Macaca fascicularis: one gene and its partners. The protein of the gene in region 1 interacts with the protein of each later gene in a pairwise test. Links are inferred from orthologs where the notes say so. Each region holds a gene or a part of one and is shown on either strand. Other genes may lie near its edges.

Region 1 (7,294 bases):
GGCAGGAGAATCGCTTGAACCCGGGAGGCGGAGGTTGCAGTCACCTGAGACCACGCCACTGCACTCCAGCCTGAGCAACAGAGCAAGACTCCATCTCAAAAAAAAAAAAAAAAATTAGCCAGGCATGGTGGTGTGCATCTGTAATCCCAGCTATTCAGGACACTGAGGTGGGAGGATCACCTGAGCCTGGGAGTTCAAGGCTGCAGTGAGCTAAGATCACACCATTGCACTTCAGCCTGGGCAACAGAGCAAGACCCTGTCTCAAAAAAAGAGAAATTTACCATGAAAAATGGAGGGAGAAACAGAGGTGGTAAAGGTGAGATCTGAAAGAAAAGAGAAAGGCTGACGGGGAAAGACATAAATTGACCAGGAAAAACTAGGCGAGAAACAGAAATGATGAGAGTGTGAGACTGATAATGAAAGAAAAAGACAGAAGGACAAGGCAGAAAAAAATAAAGAGAAACTGACCACGAAAACTGGAGTGAGAAATAGGTAATGAGGGTGAGAAATTGAAAAAGAAAGACATAGGGAAAAAGAAATGACGGGAATATGAAACTGACAACGAAAGAAAAAAATGAGAAAGATGGTGATAGAGCAAGAGAAATGACCATGGAAAAAAAAATACGGCATAAAGATGAGCGTGAGAAATTGAAAATGAAAGGAAAAAAGAAACTGGCATAGAGAAGAAAAGATAGAGAAATTGACCATGGAAAATGGAGTGAGGCCAGGCATGGTGGTTCACGCCTATAAGCCCAGCACTTTGGAAGAGCGAGACAGGAGGATTGTCTGAGCTCAGGAGTTTGAGACCAGCCTGGGCAACATAGTGAGCCTGTCTCTACGAAAAATAAAAATGAGCCGGGTGTGGTGGCGCGCATCTGTAGTCCCAAATTCTCAGGAGGCTGAGGCAGGAGGATCGCTTGGGCCCGGGCAGTCAAGACTGCAGTGAGCCGAGATCACACCACTGCACTCCATCCTGGGCAACACAGAGATAGAGATGACGAGGGTGAGAAATGGATAATGAAAGAAAAGAGACCAATAGCAAGTGAGAAACAGGAGCAGAGATGGATTCAGAGGGACCCGGAGAGATGGGGATACAAGGAAGACAGGCAAAGAAAAATGCAGAACAATGTGGTGGCAGCAATGTGGGGGCCAAAGCAGGGCAAGGTCCCAAATGTGGTCCCAGGTGTGGAAGGAGTTGCAACAGCAAGACAGAGGCCACAGAGCAGAGGGGGACGGAGCTGTGTCCCTGGAGGCTGATTCTGCAGGCCGGAGGGAGGGGATGGCCAGGGTAGGGAGAGAAGCAGCACTCTAAGAGTCCCCACCTCTGTCTGAGCCATACCAGACCTGGACCAGAGCATGAGCTTCAAGAATGGGTAAGGTTTCGCTTGCTTTGGGGGAGCTGGGGTGGGGACGATTATGTGATGACAGAGTGGCCCTTGGTTGTGGGTTTGACTGAGGGGCCCAGGCTCTCGTGTGGTTTACAGGAGGGCCATGGACTCAGGATTGCTGAGCTTAGCCTGATCTCTTAGATGGTGTCCTCGGCTCTCGAGAAGTGTCACCATTGAGCCCAAGGAGATAATGCGTTTAGAGTCTCAGGAGCTGAGGAAAACCTTTCTGGGGTGCCCTGAGACCTCAGCGAGCTCACTGAGAAGGGTCTTTCTGGAAACCCTGCAGGGAAGCAAATGGAGGTTTATGGAGGCCCCCCATGGCCACCCCAATCACGCCCCTCACCTGTGTCTGGCAGGCGCCTTGTTGCTGGAGAGGAGATCCCCGTGCGCCTGGTGGTGCCCCAGGGGAGAGTGTGTCCGGGTACCCGTGCCGTGGTGGTCCCCTTGGCCAGGTCCTCTGTTGAGGTGGGGTCCCAGGTCCAGGGGGGATAATCATCATAGTCTGTGTAGCCTTTGGAGAAATTGGGGCAATGGTTGACCCCATCCTCTTTCTCAGAGGTCCTTGTTGCTGCTCCTCCCTCCCCTTTTGGAATCTTCTGGAGCAACTCTGGGATCTCTCCACCCCAACCCCTCAAGCCCAGTTCTTTAGAGTCTACCATGGTGCGGTCACCTGGCCCCACCTTGACTCCATTCTCCTGACCACCCCCCGTAACCCCCTCCACCGCCGCCATGCCCTGGTACCAGTGCAGGTGAGCCCCACATCTTCCTCGTGGTCACAGTTGTGCTTCCCCCATGCCCCCGAGGGGCAGTCGCTCAGTGAGGCCTCGCTTCCCTTGCAGCCCATGTCATCCAGCCAGATGGGCCCAGTCCCAGGGCCGTAATGGGTTTTGCCTACTCGAGGCCGGACCTTTCCACAGCCCAGTTCCCAGCAGGCCACAGTGGCGTCCCGCAGGTCCCAGTTGTCATCACACACTGTTCCCCAGCGTCCGGCATGCCACACTTCCAGCCGGCCGGCACAGCGGTTGGGCCCATCGGCCAGACGAACCCGGAACAGGCCTGCGTGGAAGGCCCTGAGGTTAGGAGGGAGGGTCAGCCTCTCCCATTCTCTCCCCACACCCCTCATGGCCACTCACCTGATTCCCCGGTGGTGCTAGCACTGGGAGAGGGGGCCGGGTCTTTGGGTGACTCTGGAGACCCTTCTGGTATCTCAGCAGATGGCTCCAGGGAGGCCTGAGGGATTCTCTTGATAGTGGCCTCAGAGGTCATTTCTTGGGGGCCTTGAGTGGTCAGCATTGCCGTGGTCTTAGTGGTCCGTTCTCGGGGTGCCTGAGGGGTCAGCGTGGCAGTGGTGTGAGAGGTCCATCTCCGGGGGTCCTCCGTGGTCGGCCTTCTGGTAAACTCAGCAGTGGGTCTTCGGGAAGCCTCAGTGGTCAGGGCTGTAGTGGTCTGTGAGGTTAGGTCTGGGGGGCTTTGGGCCCTGGAGTGCTTTGTGGTTGGCGTCAGTGGAGGTTGAGTGGTTGGTCTCTTTGCATATTTTGTCACCCACTTCTTAGTACTCTTAGGCATTTTCCCTGGGGCCTTCGTGGTTGTTTTCTCCAGAACACTGGCAGTCACACTTGCAGAGGGCTTGGTGGCCAGCTCTCCCGGGAGCCAGGCATCCCGATCTCTCCCCAGTCCAGGAATCCAGCTCCAGCTGAAGGGGTCTGAGATGGAGTCCAGGCCTGGGGGCCCTGGAAGGTGTGTGGGGCAGGAAGAGAAGACAGAAACACCATGATGATAAGATCATCTACCCAGACCCCTCCTCTCCAGTGACTTACCCAGTTCCCATTCATTCATCATTCATTCATTTATTGTCACAAATCAAGCACCTCCTATGAGCCACACACTATGTTAGACCCTTGGGGAGCCTGTGGTAAGCCAAACCTGACGCCGCCCCCTGCCTTCTTGGCATGTACAATCTGGACATGACTGACTCCCTCACCCCTTCACACCTGACCCCCCCTCCATCTCCTCAGCTTCTGCTCTGAGTCAGGGCCTCATTTCCTGGACCTTCTGATGGGTTTCCCTACCTCCTGTCAGTTCTTACCACCAGAGGGGTACCCAGGTCCGACAGGCCACTCCTGAACTCAGAATCCTTCTGTGGTGCCCCCATGGCCCTCAGGAAGAGGGGGACAGAGGGAAGAGCCATAGCTTCCAGCAGAGGTGATACCTCCATCCTTTGAGGCACCACTCTCCATCTTCCATCCTTCTGATTAGCACACGTGTGCAGTAAAGGATTAACCTTGCCCAAAGAAAGGTTTAGCCCTTTCCCCGGCTCCTGGGAGATGGCTTCGAAGCCTTTGGAACACCTTGCCTGATAAGAGATTGTTTCCCTGGGGGACTTGGGCCATGCTGGATCACCTGTGCTAACGGTGTGATTTATGATCAGCCACATGTACGTGGCCGAGCCCCCATGAACACTCTGGACGCCACGGCTCGGGGGAACTTCCCTAGTTGGCGGTTCCTCATGTGTGTTGTCCCACTTTGTTGCTGGGGTAATGAAGTGCTGTCTGCACAGCTCCACTGGGACAGGACAGTTGGAAGCTCACACCTGCTCTCTCCTGAGCCCTGCCTCAGGCGCCTCTTCCCTTGGCTGATTTTAATCTGTATCCTTTCACTGTGATAAACGATAACCCTGAGTGTAACAGATTCTTTGGTTCTATGAGATCTTCTAGCAAATTATCGACTCTGAGAGTGGTCTTGGTGACCCCAAACTATAACGAGTCACACAGGTTTGCAATGATTTGTTAGAGTAGTTCTTTCTCCCCATGAGCTGTGAGCTATTCAAAGACCAAGACCATGTTCATTCCATTCATGAGCCCAGCATGAGGACCCTGCGCCTAGCTCAGCCTCTGCCATGTAATAGCAGGCATTGCCTGAGTTTATGTTAACTGGCTCTCGCTTTGGCTTCTCTCCATCTCCCAGTGCCCTGCCTGCTTCCTTTCATCTTAGGAAAGCTAAAGCTTCCTTCTTAGTGGGAGATTTCCTTGATTCCTGGAAGGAAAAGGAAGCAGCAGCTTCTCTGAGTGGGAATCCCAGGTCTACCAGTCAGTTGTTGCTGTGTGATCTTGAGCAAGTTACCTAACCTCTCTGTGCCTCAGCTTATTTATCAGTAAAATGGGCATAACACATACCACCCTAGACTTATTATGTGATTTCAATGTGGTCATATGTGCAAAAACACCCAGCACAGGGCTGGGGCTTAGGAAGCGCTCAATGTTAGTGCCCATGTTAGTTACTGTTCCCCCTCCAGGAAGCCCTCCTGGAGTCAACAGATAGCTAGGGCCTCCTTACCAGTGCAGGTGACCCCAACATCCTCATTGTGGGCACAGTTGTGCTTTCCCCAGGGAGCAGCAGGGCAGTCGGACAGCGAAGCCTCGGTCCCCACACAGGCCACATCATCTAGCCAGATGGGACCCGCACCCCAGCCAAAGCGGCCAGCAGCAGGGTCTGGCTGCCGAGGTCCACCACAGCCCAGCTCCCGGCAGACCACGACTGAGTCCCGCATGTCCCAGCTATCGTCACACACGGTCCCCCAGCGCTGGTCATGCCACACCTCCAGTCGACCTGAGCACTTGCTGGGCCCAGCCACCAGGCGCAGCTGGGGGGACCCTGGGGTAGAAGAGACCCAAAGAATTAAGAGTCAGGGAAGCCACCCAGCCTCCTGACTCTTCATCTACCTTTCCCTCCCTCCATCTTCCTTTCCATGCATCCATCCGTTCATCCATCTAGGCCTCCCCTCCATTCAACCATCCTTTCCTCCAGGCAGCAAATATTTAATGAAGCCTTTTTTGTGCCATTTTCTGCATTAGGCACGAGGGATGATGAGCCAGGCAGAGTTTGGAGGATCTTCAAAAAGCTACACATCGAATTACCATATAATCTAGAAAGTCTATAGTAGGGATATACCCAAAATAAACTGAAAACAGGTATTCAGACAGACACCGGTATGTGAATGTTCATAGCAGCACCATTCACAGTAGCCAAATAGTAGTGGTTGTACAACATTTTGAATGTATAAATACCACTTGAGTTGTATACTTAAACTGGTTAACTTTATATTACATGAATTTCACCTCAATTAAAATAAAAGTCTTTTTCCCTGCAATTGTTCACCACCCTTAATTTTCTCTCATTATTATTGGTTTAATAAGGGTTTTTTTTTCTTCTTTTTTAGATTTTATTTTCCTAACCACTAGACCACCAGGGATAATAAGGTGTTTTGTTGTTGTTTATGAGTCAGGCACAGCCTCTGCTTTGAAAAACTCTCGGTCTTTAGAAAAGGTAGTATGCACACACTTCATTGCAACTCAGCGAGCTAAAGGGAGTAGTGGAAGTACCAAAAAGGCAAGGCAGACACACAACGAGGAGAAGGTGAGAAAAATTCTGCCTGGGGAAGCTGGAGAAGCCTTCTCAGAGGAAGTCCTTTAAAAGACAGGAAGCAGCAGGCCAGGCACGGTGGCTCACGCCTGTAATTCCAGCAACTGTGGGAGGCTGAGGCAGGCAGATCACCTGAGATCAGGAGGTCGAGACCAGCCTGGCCAACGTGGAGAAACTCTGTCTCTACTAAAAATACAAAAATTAGCCAGGCATGGGCCAGGCGCGGTGGCTCACGCCTGTAATCCCAGCTACTCAGGAGGCTGAGGCAGGAGAATCACTTGAACCTGGGAGGCAGAGGTTGCAGTGAGCAACCACTACACTCCAGCCTTGGTGACAGAGTGAGACCCTGTTTTTTTTTTTTTTTTTTTAAAAAAAAGGCTGGTAAAAATGGTAAATTTTATGTCATGTATGTTTTATCACAATTTTTTTAAAAGAATGTGAGCCCTGGAACAAGCGTTTTTGCTTGAATCCTGGCTCTCCCATTTCTCAGCTGCGCTGCCTCATCTGTAACATGAAGACCTGTCAATGCCCACACCGCAGTGGCTGCGAGCGTCACCTGGACTGAGACATGGAGAGAACTGGGAACAGCATCAGTGACCAGGAGCCAGCGCATGCTCGATCAGTGTTAGCTGACATTATTATTCAGGAAAAGGGGAAAGAGGCCTCTGGGAATGGTGACCATGGTGAAAACAAGTTGCTGCTTTTGTTCGGCCTTTTCCCGTCTTGAGGAGACAGCTGTGTTAACCACGCCTTCTTATTTTCTGTATTTCTGATGCTTTGACATCTTGGAGCATTCCTGATCCTGAGGGACTGCCCCTCCCAGGGTTAGCTAATTCCTAGAGATGGTAAACGGCTTGAGCATGCCTTCTGTGTGCAAACCACCCTCTCCACGGGGCTCTCACACCCTGGGCCACTCTGCACCTGTCCTCACTGCTGCAGGGCCAGGTACCAGCCGACTGAGGACAACGCTTCTGAGCCACCCCCACCCCCCACCGAAATTCTTCAAAACAGCCAATTCTAAGCCTGCTTGCCCTGTCTCACCTATTCCTTCCTGCAAAAAACACAAGAAAGACCCCTGCACCTGGCCGGGCATGGTGGCTCACGCCTCTAATCCCAGCACTTCGGGAGGCCAAGACAGGAGGATCACTTGAGGCCAGGAATTTGAGACCAACCTGGACAATAGTGAGGACCTGTCTCTACAGAAAAAAAAAACTTAGCTGGGCACGGTGGCATGCAGCTGTAGTCTTAGTTACCCAGGAGGCGGAGGTGGGAGGATCACTTGAGCCCAGGCGTTTGAGGCTGCAGGGAGCTGTGACTATACCACCGCACTCCAGCCTGGGCAACCAAGTGAGACCCTGTCTCTAAATAAATATATAGATAAAGATTCCTGCCATGCCTCCCTCTCACTCCCTCTACCTCCTGCCTGGCCCTGGTGCTTCCCTGTGTGACCCCGTGTGGCACGCCGTTCTCTCGAGAACCGTGAGTCA
Region 2 (7,294 bases), on another chromosome or scaffold:
AGTTGGCTTCCCCTGGGACAACGCACCCTCTTGGAGGCCTGCTCTCTGAGAGTCCCCCAGGGCCAGGTCACTGTGGGTGCTGGGATGGGAGGGAGGGAGAAAGGGGAGGACGGCAGGGACCTTGATGTTGTCCGCGAAGTCCTCCAGCGCTTTGGCACCAATGGTCTCCATGGAGGTGATGAGGCCAGGCAGCTTATTCTTGGTGCTGGCGGCCGTGCCCTGAGGAAGCACAAGGGAGTTCCAAGCTCTCCTCCAGTCACTCAGTGAGCAGCTCATTCGCCCAGGGCCCTTCCTAAGCTGTCTCCATGCATCCTCAGAGCAGAGGTGTGGGACGGAGAATGCGGATCTCCCAGGGAGGGATGAGGGCGGCCACACCAGGCAGCAGGATGCCTACTGGCTGTTTTCGAGGGCCCCTCGTCCACATACCTGGAGCACCTGGTCAAACTCAGGCTTGGTCTGCTTGAGGTGCCGCAGGATGGGGAAGACGGTGAGCACCGTGGAGAAGTCGTGTCGCACAATGGCCTTCCGGGCAGCGGACACAATGTTCTCCCCTTCAAGCATCAGCCCATCCAGGGCATCCTGAGGGGACAGGGAGACAGTTCAGGGAAGGGTGGGGTGGTGGGACCTGGCTCCGGGCTGGTGGGGGATCCTTGTAGGGTGTAGGGGGCCAGTGTGCAGGAAGTGGGGCGATGGGGAGGTGGTGAGCGTCCACCCAGGACCAGCCCACAGGGCACAAGGCGGTGGTGGTGGCTGGAGTTGAGGGCTGCAAGAGTCTGTGGTGACAGCTCTCGCTGGGGCTGGCTGCAGAGCCCCAGGGCGGCACGGGACCTGTATCAGGGAGTCGAAGGTCTTCTTCTGGTGGTGCTCGGGGATGATGTCTGCCAGCAGCTGGTACTCGCTCTGCGCCAGCTTGACGAAGGCACTGACGCAGTGAATGTAGGCATCGGTCTCCACGTCCAGCATGTCATCTCTCCCTGGGGAAGACACAACTCTTGAGTTGCTGGTCTGGGGCCAGCCACACTTCTGGCTGGGGAGGTGTGGGTCCCCCAGCTCCTGGACTGCACCCCAGACCGGCAGCGGATGGGGAAGAGGCTGACTGTTCTGGCAGAAAGCTGCAAGGGCACCAGCAGGCCCCGCCAGGTTCGAGGGGAACAATAGGAGCTGAGCCCAGCCTTTGTTCTGGCTTCATTCTCAGCTCTGCGCAGACAGTGGGATCAGACACCAGAGGCAGGAGGGTGATGGACGGAAGGATAAGGAGGGAAGATCACTGAATCAACATCCTGGATAAGGTAGTTTGACCCCAGGACTGAGGATTCTGAGTTGTACCTGAAAGAGGGCAGCCCAGGGTGGGCAGGTGGCTGTGCCACCTCAAGGAGGCTGGCACTGGGGTCATCCATGTGGGCAAATGTGGGGCCTGCGAAGGAAGTGACCAGCCCAGCCAGGGCTTCTGGAACATCTAAGAGGGCGGTAGGCTGCAGCCTCTGAGGCTGGCTGGCATAGGGTCAAAATCTGAGAAGAGGCTGGTAAGTCCCAGAGAGGAGGGGTTGCCAGCTGCCCCAGGAGGAGGCCAGATCCTATTACTGGAGGCCACAGCGGGGGCGCCTGTGGACAAAACCAGTGGCAGAACTGCCTGGTCCTATGTGCCAAGGGATGGGCTCCGAGGGGATCAGAGCTCTGAGTTGTTGCAGGAGGCGGACGTCAGGGCTCCCTGCCCTCAAGGGAGCCACCTTCCCTCTCTGCCTGCTTTCTGAGTAGCAGCGGCTTCTCCCCTTGGCCCAGGCCTGAGAGCCAGGCACGCACTCCCATCTGGAGAGAGGCAAGGAGACCTAGGCCCAAAAGAGAGTGGAGAGAGAGGCGCATAGGCCTGGCCCATCCTCAGAGCAGACTGGGCCTGGCTGGGCCAGACAGGAGCAGGCCATCCGGGGACCGCTGCGAAGGCAGTGTCAGCAGCTGCCCTCGGGCTGGGCTGCAGTACTCACCGGCCAGTGGCCCGTGCTTGTCGTTCAAGGCCTCGGACAGGTGCTTAACTCGGAAATCATGCTCGTGACCTGGCGAGATGTTGGCCGCATAAACACAAGCAGTGTTTATCCAGGGGCCCGGCAGGCCGCCCCTTGGGGTATAGGGAGAAGCCCTTCATCTCCAGGAGGGGGATGTCAGATGGGGATGGGGAAGGGGGCATCAGAGAGGGCTCTGAGCCCCTCCTCTACCTCAAGCCACCTTGGGAACAGCCATTTCAAGCCTGACTTCAGTGAGCACCCAGGACCGTCCTTAGCTGCTCATTTCCCCAAGTCTGGAGGCCCAGGGAAAGCGGAGAAGGACCAAGGAGGGGCTGAAGAGCTGATGCTTGACCCCAGGGGGGTTCCCCACCTTGCCGTATTTGCGCAAAGCCCCAGTTTGCCTGTCGCCTGCTGCACACACTCCCCTTTCTGAAGAGGGGAGGCCTCGGCCAGCTGGGGCTGCCACTGCAGGTCTGAGCGTGAAAGGCTGCCCCAGACAAAGAGCTTTCTCTGAGTTCACACAGGAGACAAGGACAGAGACAGGGGAGGGAGGAGGGAGCCCCAGGGAGGGCAGAGCTGCCATCAGCCAGAGAGGACCAGGCCGAGGGCCGCGAAACTGTCCCTGCGCCTGCTGAAGCCCAAGTGGCATTGGGGACCTGCCGTTCCCACCCTGCTCCCCTCAGGGTTTCTCCCGAGGCCCTCCTGGGGGAGGCTCTGCCCTGCCAAGTGCGTGGACACACAGTGGAGGAGGAAGGGACAGGAGGGGAACACAGGGTGATTACCTTCCAGAGGAATGAGGTTAGAGCCCCCCTTTTTCCCATCTAGACCATGCTGGGAATACTGTTTCAGAAGGTTCTGAGCCTTACGGATCGTCCCTGTCACCAGAGCCACACAGAGAGGAGATAAGAAGACCTAGGAAATGAGTGAGAGAAAACAGCAGCGGCCCTCCACCTGCCCCCAGGCCCCACACCCAGCCCCCCACAGTGAGCAGGCCCTTCCCTGGGACCACCAGAGACCCTGGGGACAAAGGCGAAGGAAAAGAATCATTTCCTTCTCCAAATGGAGCCTTGATTCTACTACTGACCCTCCTTGTTCTGGATTTCAGTTCATTTCTGAAAGGACAGAGGATAATGAAGATGGAACAAGATCCACCAGGAGAAGTCAAAAATACGAGTGGCATTGTAGTCAGAACAGGCGAGGGCTCAGGTTGGAGGAGCCAGTGACAAAGCTTGCACACCGAGAGGGCACAACCAGGGTGGCAGAGCTTGGGGGTACCCTGAAGCCAGCAGGCCCCCAGCCCAGCCCCAAACTCCAGGCAGAGCTCTCCGAGCACGTTCAGTGTTGGGACGTACGCCAAACAGCAGCCAGCAGGAAGCCACCCTGACTGAACTTCCGGGGAGCGCGGTGCCCAAGGCGGACGGCTCAGAGACCCAGAGGCAGCCTAGCCCCACACGTTAGAGTTCCCCAAACAACCAAAGGGACAAGAAAAAATCCAAAAGTCAAGAAGGGGTTAACAGAAGTCACCACACAGAGAGCCTGGAGGGTGTGCGCAGAAGGAGAGGGCACATGCTCTTGGCATGGGGAAAAAAACAACAGTTAGTATCACAAGTGGAAACAATGAGAACAAAATGGTAGCGCCCACAGCCACCTGAGTCCGCCTCCTTTATGGGAATGAGACATCTTGGGCCAGAAAACGTGGGGAAATAAACCCGCATCTCAAGTAGACAAGTGCAGCTGCCTTGTTAACAAAATGTATGGGGGCAAGAAGGCACCCGGGATGCCCTCCACCCTCCTACTGTCTATCTGAGCACAGTGAGGCTGCTGTGTCCTGGCAGCTCCCCAGAAAGCTGAGGCAGAAAGGGCAGTGTCTGGAGGCTCATTGCTTACACCTGCACTGCACTGCGCCGCACCGCATGACATCACAATTAGCTTTTTTGTTTTTGTTTTTGTTTTTTTTTTTTTTTGAGACAGAGTCTTGCTGGGTCGCCCAGGCTGGAGTGCAATGGCACAATCTCGGCTCACTGCAACCTCCGCCTCCTGGTTTCAAGCAATTCTCCTGCCTCAGCCTCCTGAGTAGTTGCGATTATAGGCATGTGCAACCATACCCAGCTAATTTTTTTTCTATTTTTAGTGGAGACGGGGTTTCACCGTGTTGGCCAGGCTGGTCTTGAACTCCTGACCTCAGGTGATCCGCCCGCCTCGGCCTCCCGAAGTGTTGGGATTACAGGCGTGAGCCACCATACTCGGCCCATAATTAGCTCCTAATAACCAAGTTCCGCGGCCTGGCTCACATCTGCCTTGCTCGTGTTCTCCCCTTCAGCGAGCGAGGCTCACTAATGAGTGAATTGGATTCCCGCCCCACGACCCACCAGGAGCAGCCGGAGCAGCTGCGGACGCAGGTGCACGCCGGCAGGACGTGGGTCAGGGATGCAGATCTGGCAGCCGCCAAACCCGTCAGGCGCCCAATTACCTCCAGGGATGCTGAGGTCAGTGCTTCACCACCTGGGAGGCCTCCCTGCCCCTCTCCTCAGAAGTGGGAACCGACGTCAACGGAGCCTGACTCCCTAGAGCTTGACATCGGTCCTGAGCCCACCAGTGCCTGACAGCTCGGAAACCCCACAGCCGGAGAGCTTTCCTCTTGTGTCCCTGGGCCAAGGACGGATGTGGTCCACTGTGAGCTACCTGAGATCAGATCCCTCCTGCCTGAAAGGCCAGGGGGCTGCATGGCCAGCGGGCACTCTTAGGGCAGTGCAAATAGGGCTCTGGGGCTTCCAGGGGGCCTGTCAGGGAACCAGGTAGAAGAGGAAGTGAGCACAGAGTGGCTGGGGCTAAAGCATCCTCGAAGCCTCACAGAGACAGCCACTCCCCACCACACAGAAGGTACAGAGCTGCTCCATCCGCTGTGCAGGCAGCTGCGCCCACAGGCTGGGCTGGCAGTCCCCATTTGCAGGTTTTGGCTGGGTGGGCAGGACATCCACACTGGAGGGAGAAGGCCCCAGGCACCAGCTCCCTAATGCTCTACTCCCTGAGGGCAGCCCCTACTCTGCCTGTTTCTCTAAACCCTAAACAAAGGCCTGGAGAGGAGCGGGTGCTCTTGTGGAACAGACACCTCGGTCTCTGAGAGGCATGGGCAGGTAGGGACTGGAGAAACCAAGGGTGTAAGTAAGCTCTACCTAAAGCCTGTTGTCATAAGCAGGTCCCACAGGCCACACCTAGGGCATGTGCCTGCAGCAGCAGTTGGACAGGGGGCCAGCCTGGGTGGGAGCAGCCCTGGCTTCTCCAGCTTTCTCTTCCAGAGCAATCTCAGCAGCCCCACCCCAGAACATCCCAGCATGTCATCGAGTTGCGGGCATCTGTCAGTGGCCAGAGACAGCCGGGCTTGCCAAGCTGTGGCTGGCAGAGACACTGTTTACCTGGAGCACAGACTACTAGGGACATGATGCCAGGGAGAAAGAACAGACAGATGACGAGATGTTCACCCAGCACAGCGACACCCACCGGCCCAGGCCTCTCATCACGGTGCCTCTTTCCACAAGGCACTGACTCGCACTGGAGCCCAAAGCCAGTTTAAGTTCTTCTGAGAAGATGCTCTGGGGTTTCTTTCCTTTTTGGATCGACTGGGAAAGTGAAATTCTCCCCATCCAGCTCTCAGCTACACATCACTTCAGGTCACCTTGCCTTTCTGGAAGGTGAAGGTTGGAGCACCTATCCCCTCGCTATCCCAGCGTCCTGGATGCAGCAGTGTGCCTGGTCTCCTGACAGGGTGATGTGTGTGTGAGGCACGAGGCCTAGGCAGGGGCTCGGCCCTAGAAGCCTCTGCCGCCTGCCTCAGGCAGGATTAACTGAGCACCTGTGTTACTCCCTCACTCCAAAGAAGCTGTGTCACCCCCAGGCTCTGCTGGGTAGAAGGGTCTTGCTCTGCGGGGGCCTCACTGGCTGGGTAGACACTTGCTTTCTGTCCTGTGTACCTACAGTCAGGGTTACCATAACGACAAGCTCTAGAGGGGTCTGACGCTGCGAACGCTAGATTGGATGAAAGCAGTGCAGCTCCAGTCAGCCTCTGGCTGTTGCAGAGATGGGCCAGCATAGGGGCTCACCTGGCCGCTTGACTGGCTTCTTGGTAGGTGTGTCTTTCCTCTTGTTGGGGATAGCAGGGGAGTAGGGAACCCCAGAGGAAGAACTGCTCTTATGGAAATGCTCCTTCAGGCCCTTGATGGAGCGGTCCAGCTGGCTGGAGCGTATCTGGTAGTAGACGTTCATGAAATCTGAGGAGATACAGAGCGATAGAGGTATGGCTGCCAGGCCCTGCCTCTGCCTTGCAGACCCACCATGTCTACCTGTCAACCCTTCTTAGCATCTGCTGTCTGCTCTGGGTCGCAAGCCACCCATATCTTGTCCCAAATCAGGCAAAGTATTTTTTTTTTTTTTTTTGAGACAGGGTCTTGCTCTGTTGTCCAGGCTGCAGTGCAGTGGCACGATGTCAGCTCACTGCAGGCTCGACCTCCTGGGCTCAAGTAATCTGCCCACTTCAGCCTCCCAGAGTGCTGGGATGACAGGCATGAGTCACCACGCCCGGCCAGGCAATCTTAAAAGAGAAAAACACCCTCCGATAGAACTGATAATTAGTTGTAATTTTTTTTTTTTAAGGTAAGGTCTTACTCTGTCGCCCAGGCTGGAGTGCAGTGGTGTGATGGCTCACTGCAACCTCTGCCTCCCAGGCTCAACCAATTCTCTTGCCTCAGCCTTGAGTGGCTGGGATTACAGGCACGCGCCACTTCCGCCCAGCTAATTTTTATATTTTTAGTAGAGATGGGGTTTCACCATGTTGGCAAGGCTGGTCTTGAACTCCTGATCTCAAATGATTCACCAGCCTCGGCCTCCCAAAGTGCTGGGATTATAGGCATGAGCCACCATGCCCAGCCCTAGTTTTTTTATTTTTTTTGAGACCGAGTTACATTTTTGTCGCCCAGGCTAGAATGCAATGGCACGATCTTGGCTCACTGTGACCTCTGCCTCCCAGGTTTAAGCGATTCTCCTGCCTCAGCCTCCCAAGTAGATGGGATTATTACAGGTGCCCGCCACCACACCCAGCTAATTTTTTGTATTTTTAGTAGAAATGGGGTTTCACCATGTTGGCCACGCTGGTCTTGAACTCCTGACCTCAAATGATCCACTGGCCTCGGCCTCCCAAAGTGCTGGGATTACAGGCACGAGCCACTGCGCCCAGCCCTAGTTGTAAGTTTAAATCATACTTTTTTTTTTTTTAATAAAAAAACAAAGTTAATATCCAGATTCAA
Region 3 (6,848 bases), about 5.6 Mb from region 1:
TCAGGGTGCTACGGGGACCTGCAAGAAGGCCACCTGAGCTTTGGGTAGCTGGGAAGGCTTCCTGGAGGAGGTGAGGCCCAGAGGTGGGGGTAAGCCTGGGCCAGGCAAAAGGCAGGCCTCTGTGTGTAGGCCCCTCAGCTGACCTGTCTTCTGTGCAATTCTCGATCCCACTGTTTGTTCTATTCACACTGTGCTGCTTTGTCTTGGTGGTTAGCTTTCACAGGCACACACCTCCTACTCCAAAACTTAGGCTGCTGTCTCCTGGGACGCTTTTTTTTTTTTTTTTTGAGACAGTCTCTGTTGCCAGGCTGGAGTGCAGTGGTGTGATCCTGGCTCACTGCAACACCTCCCAGGTTCAAGTGATTCTCCTGCCTCAGCCTCCCGAGTAGCTGAGATCACAGGCACCCACCACACCTGGCTAATTTTTGTATTTTTAGTAGACACGGGTTTCACCATGTTGGTCAGGCTGGTCTTGAACTCCTGACCTCAAGTGATCGGCCTGCCTCAGCCACCCAAATTGCTGAGATTACAGGCGTGAGCCACTGCGCCCTGCAGGCTTTGGAGGTTCTCTTACATTTGGTATTTTTTCATGACACCTATGACTACGCTTTGGAGAGAGCAGCTGTCCCCGCGACCCTGGCTGGGACCAAGACCACCACTGCGTCTCCATCACCAGGTCGAGCCAGGATGAGGTGGGCGGTCGCAGTGGCTGGAAAGGGGCCAAAGACACTCAAATAAAAGCCACAGAAGCCACACCCATGAGGCTGCTGCCTGGGCAGAGGGCTCAGAATACTTCCTACATGGAAAAAGGCAAAGCACACAGCAATTGTCTCAAAGGCAGTCACGTGAAAGAAAGAAACATGTATCTTGCCACAACCCCAAACTAGACAACAGGGCGCGTTCCCCGCATGGAACTCCCAGGGCCCTGCTGTCGCTCAGTCGAAGGTGATGCGGAAGCTGCGCTCCTGCTCCTTGCGCCGGCCCTCGCACACCTTGGTCACCTCCTCCACCTTCCTCTGCAGCAGGGCCGAGTTCTGGTCGATCCACTGCAGCGAGCCCATGTGCGCGTTGAGGATCTTGCAGATCTGCTGCAGCGGGTCGCTGGTGTCGGCGGGGGCCCCGGACGTATTCAGGTGCTCGATGATGTCCTTGAGGTCCTGAGCCATGCGCTTGAGCTGCGCGTCGATGTTCTCGGCCAGCTTGTAGGTTTTCTCGCGCTCCTCATCCGCGTGCTGCAGGTAGATGGTTCCGCTCTGCTCCTTTACCAACTCCTCCAGCGGGCTCAGCAGGTCTTCCAGCTCCTTCTGCTGGGACAGGATGAAGTCGAGCTCCTGGTCCAGCCTCTTCTGGTCCAGCTTCACCTTCTCCACCTCGCGGTGCAGGCTGGTGATCTTCTCCCCGTTCTCGATCAGCGTGCGGTCCCAGGCGTTGACCTGGGTGGCCTGCTGGAGGAAGTGCCGCTCCTGGTCCTCTAGCTCCAGGCTCCATTTGTTGATCAGGCTCTCCAGCTGCGCGTAGGTCATGGCGGAGCTGGCGGCCGCCCCTGCAGCTGCACCAGGGCCAGGTGGAGCAGTCACAGCGGCTGCCGTATTGCTGGGGATCCCAGCTGGCGCCAGTGGTTTTAAATTCAAGGCAAAGCCGGTGGTGCTGCTGCTGCTGCTGGTGGCCGCGGCGGTGGCAGTGGTGGATGTTGCTGTGGAGGCGCCCGAAGCTGCTCCAGGTGCCTTTAAGCTGAAGCCCTGTGTCCCGGCAGCGGGGGCTCCCGCGGTGGTCGCAGGGGTACAGAGGGAGAGTCCGGTGGTGGCAGACGAGGTTGGAGCGGTTGCTATTGATGCAAAGAGGGTGGGCCCAGTACCGGTGGTGGTGGCTGTGGCTGTGGGAGCAGCTGGCTGCGTGACGCCTGCTGTGGTGGCTGCTGGCGTGGCCGGAGTAAAGGGCAGAGTGGCAGGTGCGGTGGGCTGGGCTGAATTCCCCGCTGAGCCAATGTTGAAACCGGAGGGCTGGGCCATGCTTCCACCAGTGAATGAGAAGCCTCCAGATGTGGTGGCTGGAGCCACAGAGGTGGTGGAGGGGCCAAACACAAAGCCAGTGGGTGCTGTGCCCTGGCTGGAGGTGACAGTGCTCGATATGGCATTAGTGAGGTTGCTGCTGCCCAGCCCAAAGCCACTGGGGTTTGCCATGGCTGGGGTGGCAGCTGTGTTGCTCAAGTTGAGCTTTGAAGCACCGATCCCTAAAGAAAATCCAGTTCCCCCCGAGGCAAGAGTTGCTGTTCCAAAAGTGAAGCCTGTTGTCTGTGTGGCCGGAGTCTGAGTGGCGAGTGAGAACAGGCCGGTGGAAGGGGTACTTGTGGTTGGTTGGGAGGGAGCCCCAAAATTAAACCCTCCAGTGCCAGAGGTGGAGAAAGAAAACCCTGTGGCAGGTGTGGTTGTCGCTGTCTTTGCAGTGCCAAATGTGAACCCACCTGTAGGGGCCCCAGTGCCTCCAAAATTAAACCCGCTCATGGCTCCGGACTCTGGTGGCGGCAGCTACTCTGGCTCCCAAAGCAAATCCGCTGGCGTCTGCGACCTCGGGAATATTTCTAAAGCAAAGGAAGTGACACTGTCAGATGGCAGTTTTGGAAAGGCAAGCCCAGTGGCATGACTGGGCACGGCTGGTTTGGAGGGTGGTGGGATGGGATTATGATACCATGCAGCAACCCCCCTTCGTCCTGTGTAACCTAAACCAGACTCTGCTACATCGAGAAGGATCCAGAAGCACAAATGCACGCTCCAGGGGTCAGGTACGAGGAGTCGGGGTGCTAGGGACGTGCATGGCCACATTCAGCACAGTGGAAAGTTCCCACTCTGGAGGATGAGGCGGGAGAACAGGACCTTGGACCCACTTCAGCCCGAGGAGATCAGATTTGAGGCACTGCCACAAGCGGGACTAGGACACAGAAGAACAGCTGTAGGACCTGCTCCCAGCGTGGGACCCAGTAAGGTTCCCTGGCTGACTCTAGCGGGGTGTGAGCGGATCAGCTCTTGCCACCCTGAGGGCCTCTCTGGACGTGAGAGAGAGAGATGGGGCAGGGAACCCAGGCTGGATGGCAGGATACGGGCTGCTGAAGGTCCCCCAGGCCCACACCTGTACTCTCTAAGAGCAGGAGAGGACGTGCCCCTCCTAACTCAGGGGAGGGTCTGAAACCCATGTGCTCAGAGCACAGATGCCCCTGGCCACAGTGACTGGCTCGAGGATAAACTGAGACCCGAGCCAGGCAATCAGAGCCTCCCCTGGGATTTTCTCCATGCTCAGAAGGCAGCTGCCTCCTTCGCCTCTAAGTGTGGTGCAGGGGATTGCACCTGGGCCACCCTTGGACACCTTCTCAACCACCTGCAGACACTGGGACATCACCGGAGACCATGAGCCCCACCAGAGATGGATGGGGTGGGGAACAGATAAAGAGCCCCCGAGAAGCCCCATGGGCCAAACATTTCCCTTCAGTCCAAACTGACTTGATGTTGGTAACGTCTAACCGAAAAATCTCCAAGTGGTGCCATCTATCAGCGGGATGGTGAGGAAAGGGTGAGAGGAAGTGCTGGATAGGGGTGTTTTTTTTCTTTTGGGAAAGGGTTTTGCTCTGTCATACCAGCTGGAATGCAGTGACATATCACAACTCACTGCAGCCTCAAGCTCCGGGGCCCAAGCGATCCTTCCACCTCAGCCTCCCAAAGTAGCTGGGACTACAGGTACATGCCACCATGCCCGGCTAATCTTTTTTATTTTTTGTAGGAACGGGATTTCACTCTGTTGCCCTGGTCTTGAACTCCTGGGCTCAAGCGATCCTCCCTCTTTGTCCTCCCAAAGTGCTAGGACTATAGGTGAGAGCCCTCCAGATGATCAGAAGCATCCTTAGAAGATCGGTTTGACTGACTGGAGAGGGAAGAAAGCTTGTGGTGGCAAGAGCAGACTGGAGTGATGCGCTTTGGAACCTGAAGACGGGAGAAAGCCAGGAGCCAGGGAAGGCAGAAGCAGCTCTAAAAGCCGGAAATGGAAAGAGGGAGGCCCTGTCTAAAAAACAAACAAACAAACAGAACGAACAAAGTCATGACTGAGAAGCCAAGTGCCTGGCCCAGAGAAACACCCACGACGTCTGTTTCCTCTTCCCTCTCTCCAGGCCAGTTTTTAAATTGCTTGGTGTCTGTCCTCAGGAAATCCCCTTCTAGCTTGAGGAAGAGGAAACCTACCTCACTACCCCCACCCCTTCCACTGCACCCTTCTGCCTTCCACAGGCCCCTAATTTTTGTTTCATCTGCTCCTCCTCCTCCACACAGCCAAGCAAGTCTGGGGAGATGACCCCAGGGCCAGCTGCATGCGCTCTGCCTTGTCCCAGCCAGCAGATCTCAATGGGCGCCCATCAGCACTGACTGGAGCATTTAAAACACCGAAGGCTGCCAGCTCCATGAAGCCAGTCTCTCCAGGGCTAGGATGCTGGCCCTGGCATTTTCATAAAGCTCTCCTGGGGGATTCTGAGAAAGGCTTCTTCAACAGGCCACAGCAAGTGCCTGAGCCCCCAGGACTGTTGGGGCCCAGCCCGGCCTGCATCCATTCCTCCCGTTGTGGGACAGAACAAAAGTCCTCACTGCTGAGCCACCTCAAGTCGGTGTGTTGTTACTGGCAGCTAAAGGCATTGGAGCAGCTACACCTACACATCTCAGTTCTCAAAAACTCAGCTTAAAAAAGCTTTTGCTATTAATAAGTTATAGCTAAAATTTCCAAGAAGAGCATTTATAAAAAGCTCTTTACAACTATGAAAAAACTACAAGGAAAACAATCTTCTGTGGGGACTTGTCTGGCTTAACGGTTCACCTTTTTTTTTTTGAGATGGGAGTCTCGCTCCGTTGCCCAGGCTGGAGTGGAATGGCACGATCTTGGCTCACTGCAACCTCCGCTTCCTGGGTTCAAGCAATTCTCCTGCCTCAGCCTCTGAGTAGCTGGGATTACAGGCACATGCCACCACACCTAGCTAATTTTGTATTTTTAATAGAGACGGGGTTTCTGCATGTTGGTCAGGCTGGTCTCAAACTCCCAGCCTCAGGTGATCCACCTGCCTCAGCCCCCCAAAGTGCTGGGATTATAGGCGTAAGCCACCACGCCCAGCCAACAGTTCACCATTTATTAAGTGCCTCGTTGGTTTCTAATACTTCAGGTGCCAGGGATCTAGTCACAATGGTGAACCCATACAAATCCAGCTCTGATCCATGCAGTTTAGATGTAATATGGCCAGGTGCAGTGGCTGACGCCTGTAATCCCAGCACTTTGGGAGGCTGAGGTGGGAGGATTGCTTGAGCTCAGGAACTCAAGAACAGCCTGGCCAATATAGCGAGATCCTGTCTCTACAAAAAAATACAAAAATGAGTTGGCTGAGATGGGAGGATCACTGGAGCCCAGGGAGGTGGAGGCTGCAGTGATTGTGCCACTGCACTCCAGCCTGGGCAAAATAGTAAGACCCCATCTGAAAAAAAAAAAAAAAAAGTTAGATATATCATTACTCACCCTTTCCTAAAAGCAAACTTTGGGGCAGATCCTTTTTTTTTTTTTTTTTTTTTTTTTTTGAGACGGAGTCATGCTCTGTCGCCCAGGCTGGAGTGCAGTGGCCGGATCTCAGCTCACTGCAAGCTCCGCCTCCCGGGTTCACACCATTCTCCTGCCTCAGCCTCCCAAGTAGCTGGGACTACAGGCGCCCGCCACTTCGCCCGGCTAGTTTTTTGTATTTTTTTAGTAGAGACGGGGTTTCACCGTGTTAGCCAGGATGGTCTCGATCTCCTGGCGTCGTGATCCGCCCGTCTCGGCCTCCCAAAGTGCTGGGATTACAGGCTTGAGCCACCGCGCCCGGCCGGGGCAGATCCATTTTACAAATGAGAAAGTGAAGCCCAGAGTGGTTAGCTAAGCCATGGCCCCTGCCCTCGAGGCAGCCAGAGTCAAATGTCAGCTCTATAATCAGGGATCAGGGCTGGGTTACATGCTGTGGGAGCAGGTTCCAGGGAGGAGCTGAGTGTTGCAGATGTAGCATCAGCCAGGGAAAGGATCGGGAGGGGAGAGGAGCTGTCCAGGCAGGAGGAAAGGCCTACGGGAAGACAGGGAGGCTGAAACAGCAGACATGCCTCTGGGTGCTAAGTGATTTGGTGCTTTGGAAGGGAGATGTTTATGTGTGAAGGACTGATTTGCCAAGCATGAGCTGTTCAAATCTGTACATTCCAAAGAGAGAAAATGGCCCTTGACCAGCTCTGGGAGAATCTCTATGTTCTTGAAATGTCCTGCCAGGTAAGAGCGTCTTTGTTTACCTGGAGCCTCGGGCCACTCTAGGGAGTCCATGTTAACGCTGTGACCTACAGTGGGGGCTTTGGGTCATACGGTATCAGCACAACCTCTGGAGGGGCTGGAGAAAGCAGACCTCAGTTTAGCCACACAAGTGCTCCATGCCTACAGAACTGCTCCTCCCCACAACCCGGGCCGCCAACACTCCGTAAGTGTTACCGCACACTGTTGCTGGGAGAACTGAGCGCTGTCCACGGAACTCTCTACCTGGAGAGGAGAGCTGGAAGCTCGTGCCTGGTCTCTCTCGGAGCTTCTGCATCTCTCCCCTTTGCTGTTTTCGGTCTGTTTCATTTCTCCATAATAAACCGTGACCGTGACTGTGAGTAGAAAGCTTTGCCGAGCTCTGTGAGTCTTAGTCCATCACTGAGCCGTGACCGTGACTGTGAGTAGAAGCTTTGCCGAGCTCTGTGAGTCTTAGTCCATCACTGAGCCGTGACCGTGACTGTGAGTAGAAGCTTTGCCGAGCTCTGTGAGTCTTAGTCCATCACTGAGCC
Region 4 (8,025 bases), on another chromosome or scaffold:
CACCATGTCCAGCTAATTTTTGTATTTTTTTTTTTTTAGTAGAGATGAAGTTTCACCATGTTGACCAGGCTGGTCTCGAACTCCTGACCTCAAGTGATCTGCCTGCCTTGGTCTCCCAAAGTGCTGGAATTACAGGCATGAGCCCCTATGCCCGGCCTTACATATTATTTTTTATGTTTTTCTTGGTAAGAAATAATGCAATTATTACTCTACTACCCAAATACGCATAATTTTATTTCTATAGTGATAACGAGAGACTAAAGATAACTCTGTTAACAAGAAGGGGTGTGTCAGGAATCTTACCTACAAAGCACTTATTGTACAAATGAACACGCGGTATTTGTATTCCCAAGGCAAAGTAGGTCAACCATTAATTGCCATTCCCTAAAATCATGTACTACCACACATTTATCATTCTAGAACACCAAATTGCTGAAAAGGTCACTTTCTAACCAAGAGAAGATCTCCCATCCCTTTGTCCAACCTGATGTTCACTGTGGGTATTGACAATTCCAATTTAGCTTCTGTTCTACTTCCAAGTTGTAAAATAAAAGCATTTTCCCTGTACATCACCTCAAAAGTCCACCTATTATTCCTTACTAAACTTTTATTTTCACTAGCTTGTAGCTTTCATCTTCTTCCTTCTAATCTTCCCTGCCCCTGCCTCATTCCCTCTTACCTCCTTGCTGGAGGCATGGAATCCATCAGAGGGCTGGACTCACTCACAGCACACAGGCACACTCTGGTCCCTGCCCTTGGAGACCTGCCAAAAGGCAGCCTTCTTCCAAGCTCTGGGCTCTAAGCTTCTTGACCTCTGCTGAGACTACGGCTTGAGCTTCTTGAGCTCTCATAATTCACACACATCAGTTTAACTAAAATACTCCACTATTCAAAATACTCCTCTTGATATTTTCTTTGTAACTAAAAATAAAATATCCCTTGCTGCACGAGGCCCTGTGTCAGTCTGTATCATTCTACTTCTCTGATATATTTCCAGCTCCCACCCCTCTTTTCAGGTCAGTGACCCTCACTTGGACTTACCTGTATTTCTTAATTCATTCCCAACAATTAAAAGCAAGCAAGAAAAAAAAAAAGAAAACCTCAGTGGTATCTTTCATCCTTTAAAAAAACTTGAGGTCAACCTGATCCAAGAAACTTTTTTCCGATCAGCATCAACTACAAATGAAATGCTCTCCACATACTGCTGCCCTCACCTCAGGGGCACTTTCTCATTTCATTTGGACACATGTCATCTAAAGCCACAACTTTAATAGGCACTTGTATATTGGTGACACTCCCAACTCTATCGCAAACCCAGACCGTTGTCATGTGTTCCAGAACTTGTTTTCCAACTACTTCCTCAATGTTTTTGGCAGATTCAGCCACATATACCTCATGCTTAGTAAGCCCCAAACAGAGTTTATTATCTTAACTACCCACCTCCGTGCTCCCTTTTCTGTATTTCACTATATCCACCGATGTTTGCCAACATCCATTCAGACATTCAAACCAGAAACCTCAAGTCTCTCAGACTCCTCCCTCTCTCTCATACCCTTCATTTAATCATTCAAATATTTATTCAAGAAATATTTACTCAGGATGCATTATGTGCCAGGTACAGAGCTCAGTCTTGGGTCTAAAACTAAACAAAAATGGGCCTCTGTGCTGACAGACAGAGCTGACGCTCTGGTCTTCCGTGAGTCTCTACAAGTGTGTAGTCTACACATCTCACACATCTGCTCCCTGCTCCTCACACCCAATGTGGCTGACTCGGGCTAGACTGCCATCGCCACTGCCAGCCTCTCACTATGCCTCCCAGCCGAATCCTCTTGCTACAGTCAACCTTATTCCAGTGCAACTAGAGAAAACTCCAGTCTTTCTGAAACACACGTCTAATTTCACTGCCTTGTTGAAAATCCTTCAAAGGCTCCCAAAACCCAACAAGATGAACTACAAACTCCTCCTGAGTATGGTATATGTGACCCATAGACCACCGAGGCCACTCCATTGTCCACACTCTAGTCAAAGTGATCTACTGGGGGCAGAGGATACACGGGAGAGGAGATAAAGGTGAAGAGACAGGAGAGAGGGATGAGCTCCATCCCTGTCCCATTCCACCAACCACTAACTCCTGCCAAACCTGCAGATTTTCTCACACCTTCAGACTTCCCATATTCCTGTCTCTCCAGATTCCCTCACTTCTATGTATCCTTCAACACTCAGCTCAAGCATCACCTCCCCTAAGAGGACCTGAAGGCCTAAGGGACATCCATTCCCCAGCTCAGCCAGCCTGAGACCCACAGCATTCACAGCCATCTATCAATCCCTCTTTCTAACTGTTCTAAACCAGTATCACAGTTGCTTACACAGGTGAGTGTGTGTATACATATATACTGTGCAGTCACTGAGGGCAGGGCTGTCTGCTCTTCTGTGTCTCCCAGCTTCTGGAACAGTGCCTGGCAAATAGAAACTGCTCAATCCATGTCTGGTTTTTGTTTTTGTTTTGTTTTTGAGATGGAGTCTTACTCTGTCGCTCAGGGTGGAGTGCAGCGGCATGACCTCAGCTCACTGCAACATCCACCTCAAGCGATTCTCATGCCTCAGCCTCCCGAGTAGCTGGGATTATAGGCGCCCACCACCACATCCAATTAATTTTTGTATTTTTAGTTGAGATGGGGTTTTGCCATGTTGACCAGGCTGGTCTTGAACTCCTGACCTCAGGTGATCCACCCACCTCAGCCTCCCAAAGTGCTGGGATTACAGGCGTGAGCCACTGTGCCAGGCCTTCCATGTCTGTTGAATATATGAAATTGCTTCCTGTGTCTCTTTCACTTATATGATTAACTATTGCTTCCAAGGAGACTGTTTCTTCTTTTTCTCTGGAAATTCTCTGAATGGGTTTCTGAGATTTTTAGAGATGAATTTTAGTTCTAAAAACTATTAATGTTCACACACACACACAGACTGTCTCCAAGAAACAAGAGCATTAAAGACAGGTATAGCTATACTAGACTTCACAATGAAAATGTTTAGCATGAATTCACAGTGACACACAAACCAAATACTACACAGCAAGGAAGATGGACATAACCAAACAACTTGAATGGTGCAGAGGATGATTAGAAAACCCCAGGTAAAGCCTTATTTATTCCTGCATCCTCTCACAGCATTCTGCTCCAAAATGCTGGTTCTTCACCAAAGACAGCAACGCCTAACCTTTCAACCACAGGTCAAATTGAGACATCATTTTGACTCCCATCCTTTCACTCATTCAACAAACATCCACTGAATAACTGGTCTACTACATACCACACATCATTCTACGCAGTGGGAATATAATCGTGAATAAAACTAAGTTTTTGCTTTCATGGTCTTACATCCTAGTGGAGTGGAATAAACAAGTATGTGTACATGTCAGGTAGTGACCAGCATCAAGAAGAAACATTAACACATGGGCAGGGGAACCTTTATGTACAGCTGTTCCCAGCGTGCCTGTCCTCGCTTCTCCATGAAACTGTCTTTAGTCCTTCAAACAAGAATAAATTACTCACTGCAAACTCAGTATTCGAAGAGGATCTACTTACTAGGCCCTAAACAACATCCTGGAAATAAAAAGGCAATTAGGTCATAGCTGCTGAAGAAGACCGCAGTCCAAATGGAGAAGCAGGTGTGTTTATTTCACAAACATTAAATCACACTGTCTGGCAGGCAGTATACTTGGTGCTTTTCAAAAATTAAAGCATTTCTAATTATAATTATGTGAGGCTATACATATATAGAAACTGAAGCACAGAGAAGTAAACTAAAATGCCTACAGTTACACAGCAAGCTACTGGCAGGGCAAGGACTGGAATACAGTCTGTGCTCCTGAACACCATGCTCTGGGCTATGCTACATCATCATCAAAAAGCAATCTCCCTGGACAATAATACAAATATGAAAAAAAGAGCTAGGAGTGCACATAGGAGTGGGGGCCTAAGAGAACAAGAAAAAGTTTCTTGGAAGAAGTGATGGATTGTCTTGAAAGACGAAAATTGGCCAGGCGCTCACACCTGTAATCCCAGCACTTTGGGAGGCCGAGGCAGGCGGATCACTTGAGGTCCGGAGATTGAGACCATCCTGGCCAACATGGTGAAACCCCGTCTCTACTATAAATACAAAAATTAGCAGGGCATGCACGCCTGTAGTCCCAGCTACTCGGGAGGCTGAGGCAGGAGAATCACTTGAACTCGAAATGTGGAGGTTGCAGTGAGCCGAGATCGCGCCACTGGATTCCACCCTGGGCGACAAAGCAAGACTCCGACTCAAAAAAAAAAAAAAAGATGAGGAATGCATTTTATATGTCTACTTCACAAATATTACATGTTTCTCCTAGAAGAGGGGCACAGTCCATCTTACAAGATATCTTACTGTAATCTAGAAGATATCCTACTGTATCACAACAATCTCCTAGTAGGAGACAGTGTACCGTATCCCAGGAGAGGGGCACAGTCCATCCTAGGAGGTATCTTACCGTATCCTAGGAGTCTCCTAGTGGGAGATAGACTACTGTACCCTAGGAGAGGGCCACTGTTTACTTGCATTCCCTGCCAGCACCTGGCGTAACAACAATGGGTGTTCAGCAAAGATTTGTGGAATGCCAGTGTACGAATGAATGTCCAGCACTCTGGACAACTCGGAACAGTGGGTTTCTGCAATGAAGAGCAAGTCGCATCACCTGCCGCCTCCAAGATCCCAAAGCCCCCGACCCACTCAAACCTGGTCACTAATGATCCTGGCAAGCTATCGAGAGGGTAGCTGGAGGCAAAAGGAATATTTTCCGTCTGACCCTTGTCACAGCACGTCCCCCGCCCGCCTCCCACCACACACGGGACCGCCCTCCCCTTATTACCTCCGGGCAAGAGCAAGGAGGCCGGGGAAGCTGAGGCCTGGGTGACTGGAATGAAGGGCACATTGAAGCTGAACTCCGTGGCCGAGGAGGAGAAAAGTAAGTTAGTGCCCGACGAGGAGGTGGAGACGCCGCCGCTGCCACCGTTAGGTTTTCTCTCCGCCATGGCTGCGGCCCACCTTCCGATACACGTCTCCGGGTACTCAGTACCTCACCACTGACCGGAAACCGATCACTCTCCCGGCCAGCGCACTTCCGCACTTGCGCACAGGAGCCGGAACTACGGGTAGCTAGTTAGTCAGCCACCCTCTCCCTTCCCCCAGCCAGCGCCGCCAGAAATCAACATGGCGGCAATGTCTTCCCGCCCGAGTCTGGCACGTGACACCCTTGGAGGCGGAGAGGGGCTGAGGCAAAGGCCGGGAGGGAGCGTGGGGGCGTGGTCCCCGCAGGTTCTGGATGGACGTGCGAATTGACACGCAATTGACCCTGAAAGTCACAGGTTGTGGCTGATATCTATGGGCTTCCTAAAAGTACTGTCAGGATGACTCTCCTGACAAAGATTTTGGAGGAACAGCGGAATCCTGCTGGACGCTGCCCGAAGGAGGAAAGGAGGAAGAGGGTTGTGTGGGAATTCGCATGCAAGGCGGAACCAAACACCCTTTCCAAAACCACTTGTCTTTCTGGACTGAACTGAACTTTGGCATTGACCCAGAAATAGAAATGGTAAAATGTTTTTAAGTGTTTAATACATAGGGAGAAAAAAAATCTTTGATTTATTTTTGTTGTTGTTTTGTGTTTTTCGTTTGTTTTTTGTTTTTTTTTTTTTTTTGGTTGTTTTGTTTTGTTTTTTGTTTTGAGAGGAGGCTCGCTCTGTCACCCAGGCTGGAGTGCAGTGGCGCAATCTCGGGTCACTGCAACCTCTGCCTCCCAGGTTCAAGTGATTCTCCTGCCTCATCCTCCCGGGTAGCTGGGACTACAGGCGCCTGCCACCACGCCTGGCTAATTTTTTGTATTTTTAGTAAAGATGGGGTTTCACCGTGTTGGCCAGGATGGTCTCAATCTCCTGACCTTGTGATCCGCCCGCCTCAGCCTCACAAAGTGCTGGGATTACAGGCATGAGCCACTGCGCCCGGCCAAAAACACATATTTAAAAGAGAAATCAAACCGGACGCCGTGGCGCAGGCCTGCAATCCCAGCACTTTGTGAGGCAGAGCGGGAGGACAGCTTGAGCCCAGGAGGTTGAGACCGGCCTGGCCAACATGGCGAAACCCAGTCTCTAATAAAAATGCAAAAATTAGCCGGGCGTGGTGGCATGGCACCTATAGTCTCAGCTACTCAGGAGGCTGATGTGGGAAGATTGCTTGAGGCTAAATTAACCCTGATCTTGCCACTCACTGTGCTCCAGCCCAGGCAACAAGGCGAGACCCTGTCTCGTTAAAAAAAGAAAGAAAAGAAACCAGGACATTGAAATTAGAGCTCTGACATTTTAGATAGCTTTCTATATCCACAGTATGACTAGTTCAATCCAGAAGGTACTGTGGATAACTTGGACATAATTGTCATCTTTCATAGTTAGAGATTTTGAAAGAAAATATAACTTAAGCAATCTTTCAGCTTCTTGGAGGTTGGGAGAGGAGATCCCAAAAGAACACTCAAAATAATGAAACTCTCCCCAGCTGTTTACACCTATGTAGAACCTAAATTTATTAATTCAATAATGATTTCATGTGCTTACTGTCAAAAAAAAATTTTTAAGTGGGACACTCATTAAAGCTGTAAATTAGATTTTATTTAATGAAAACTATTGCAGTAGGGAAGTGGGTCCAGCATGAACTGAACACAACTTTGCTGAAACAAAAGATTGGAGACTTTTTAGAGGCTGTGGTGTGCTAAGGGAAAGGCACTGAGGAGTGTGAAGAGGTGGTTGGTCCTGCGACTAGGCCACCTGGGTGTGTTAATCCATGCTTATCCAGAGGAGACACATAATTATTCTGTTTTCATGACAAGCAGTGGTGTAAGAGAGCAAGGTAGCCATAGGGACTGGGAATGAGAATGAGAAGCACCTCCTTGAATGTTTGCAGTTGAAGAGACAAACCCCCAGGTCCTTGAGAAGACAGTTCTTGGTGGTCATGTGTCTGGAATTGGTTCCTTCCAGTGGGTTCTTGGTCTCGCTAACTTCAAGAATGAAGCCTCGGACCTTCGCAGTGAGTGTTACAGCTCTTAGAGGGGGCATAGACCCAAAGAATGAGCAGCAGCAAGATTTATTGTGAAGAGTGAAAGAACAAAGCTTCCACAGCATGGAAGGGGACCCAGGTTGCCTCTGCTCGCTGGGGGGGTGGCCAGCTTTTATTCCCTTATTTGTGTCCCCCCCCTACATCCTGCTGATTGGTCCATTTTACAGAGTGCTGATTGGTGCATTTACAGTCCTTTAGCTAGGCACAGAGTGCTGATTGGTGCATTTTTACAGAGTGCTGATTGATGCATTTACAATCCTCTAGCTAGACACAGAGCACTGATTGGTGCATTTTTGCAGAGTGCTGATTGGTGCATTTACAGTCCTCTAGCTAGACACAGAGCACTGATTGGCACATTTTTACAGAGTGCTGATTGGTGCATTTACAATCCTCTAGCTAGACACAGAGCGCTGATTGGTGCGTTTACAGTTCTCTAGCTAGACAGACAAGTTCTTCAAGTCCCCACTCAACCCAGGAAGTCCAGCTGGCTTCACCTCTCAATCCCGCCTCTAAACAGGACACCCCAACTGCTGTTGGGAATTGGGCGATGACCGGTATAGCTACTTCCTGCTAGATAGGGGTGAAGAAGGAGCCCTACAGTTGCAGTGTCCTCCAGAGGGGAACTCTTTAGGCCAGTCAAAGGGCCAGCGGGTTGGTCCAGGGGTCCTCAGTAGAAGTTGTTAGTTGAGCTCATTTGGGGTTCCATTTGTAAGACCATCTGTAGCTTGATGGCCTTGATCTTAGAGGAAACAACTTTGACAAGGAGGTTAAAAATACAGGGCCCGAAGGAGAGTAATTGCAAGATGGCTGTCATGGGAACTAGAAAGGGGAGAAGCCATATCGCTCAACTCCAGAGGTTGATATAAGCATTTGAAAGGCATTGTCTGATTTCAGAAGCCTTTT

Evidence for each region.
Region 2: the proteins of SSC5D (region 1) and EXOC7 interact in binary tests that used the Homo sapiens proteins (3 or more experiments, as listed by UniProt). The two-hybrid records come from large-scale screens. The link is inferred for Macaca fascicularis from reciprocal best matches to the Homo sapiens genes SSC5D and EXOC7.
Region 3: the proteins of SSC5D (region 1) and NUP62 interact in binary tests that used the Homo sapiens proteins (3 or more experiments, as listed by UniProt). The two-hybrid records come from large-scale screens. The link is inferred for Macaca fascicularis from reciprocal best matches to the Homo sapiens genes SSC5D and NUP62.
Region 4: the proteins of SSC5D (region 1) and SEC23IP interact in binary tests that used the Homo sapiens proteins (3 or more experiments, as listed by UniProt). The two-hybrid records come from large-scale screens. The link is inferred for Macaca fascicularis from reciprocal best matches to the Homo sapiens genes SSC5D and SEC23IP.

Annotation. Positions count from the first base shown.
Region 1 is NC_088393.1:63,444,931-63,452,224, reverse strand, and holds part of SSC5D (soluble scavenger receptor cysteine-rich domain-containing protein SSC5D), read right to left. Parts: intron 5,040-7,294; coding exon 4,722-5,039; intron 3,119-4,721; coding exon 2,522-3,118; intron 2,445-2,521; coding exon 2,130-2,444; intron 1,900-2,129; coding exon 1,732-1,899; intron 1-1,731.
Region 2 is NC_088390.1:82,519,805-82,527,098, forward strand, and holds part of EXOC7 (exocyst complex component 7), read right to left. Parts: intron 6,263-7,294; coding exon 6,095-6,262; intron 2,873-6,094; coding exon 2,780-2,872; intron 2,049-2,779; coding exon 1,980-2,048; intron 975-1,979; coding exon 829-974; intron 580-828; coding exon 427-579; intron 220-426; coding exon 121-219; intron 1-120. UniProt on the Homo sapiens protein: Component of the exocyst complex involved in the docking of exocytic vesicles with fusion sites on the plasma membrane.
Region 3 is NC_088393.1:57,891,204-57,898,051, forward strand, and holds part of NUP62 (nuclear pore glycoprotein p62), read right to left. Parts: intron 2,579-6,848; 5' UTR 2,502-2,578; coding exon 936-2,501; 3' UTR 1-935. UniProt on the Homo sapiens protein: Essential component of the nuclear pore complex. The N-terminal is probably involved in nucleocytoplasmic transport.
Region 4 is NC_088383.1:128,909,755-128,917,779, reverse strand, and holds the start of SEC23IP (SEC23-interacting protein), read right to left. Parts: upstream 5,135-8,025; 5' UTR 5,055-5,134; coding exon 4,892-5,054; intron 1-4,891. UniProt on the Homo sapiens protein: Plays a role in the organization of endoplasmic reticulum exit sites. Specifically binds to phosphatidylinositol 3-phosphate (PI(3)P), phosphatidylinositol 4-phosphate (PI(4)P) and phosphatidylinositol 5-phosphate (PI(5)P).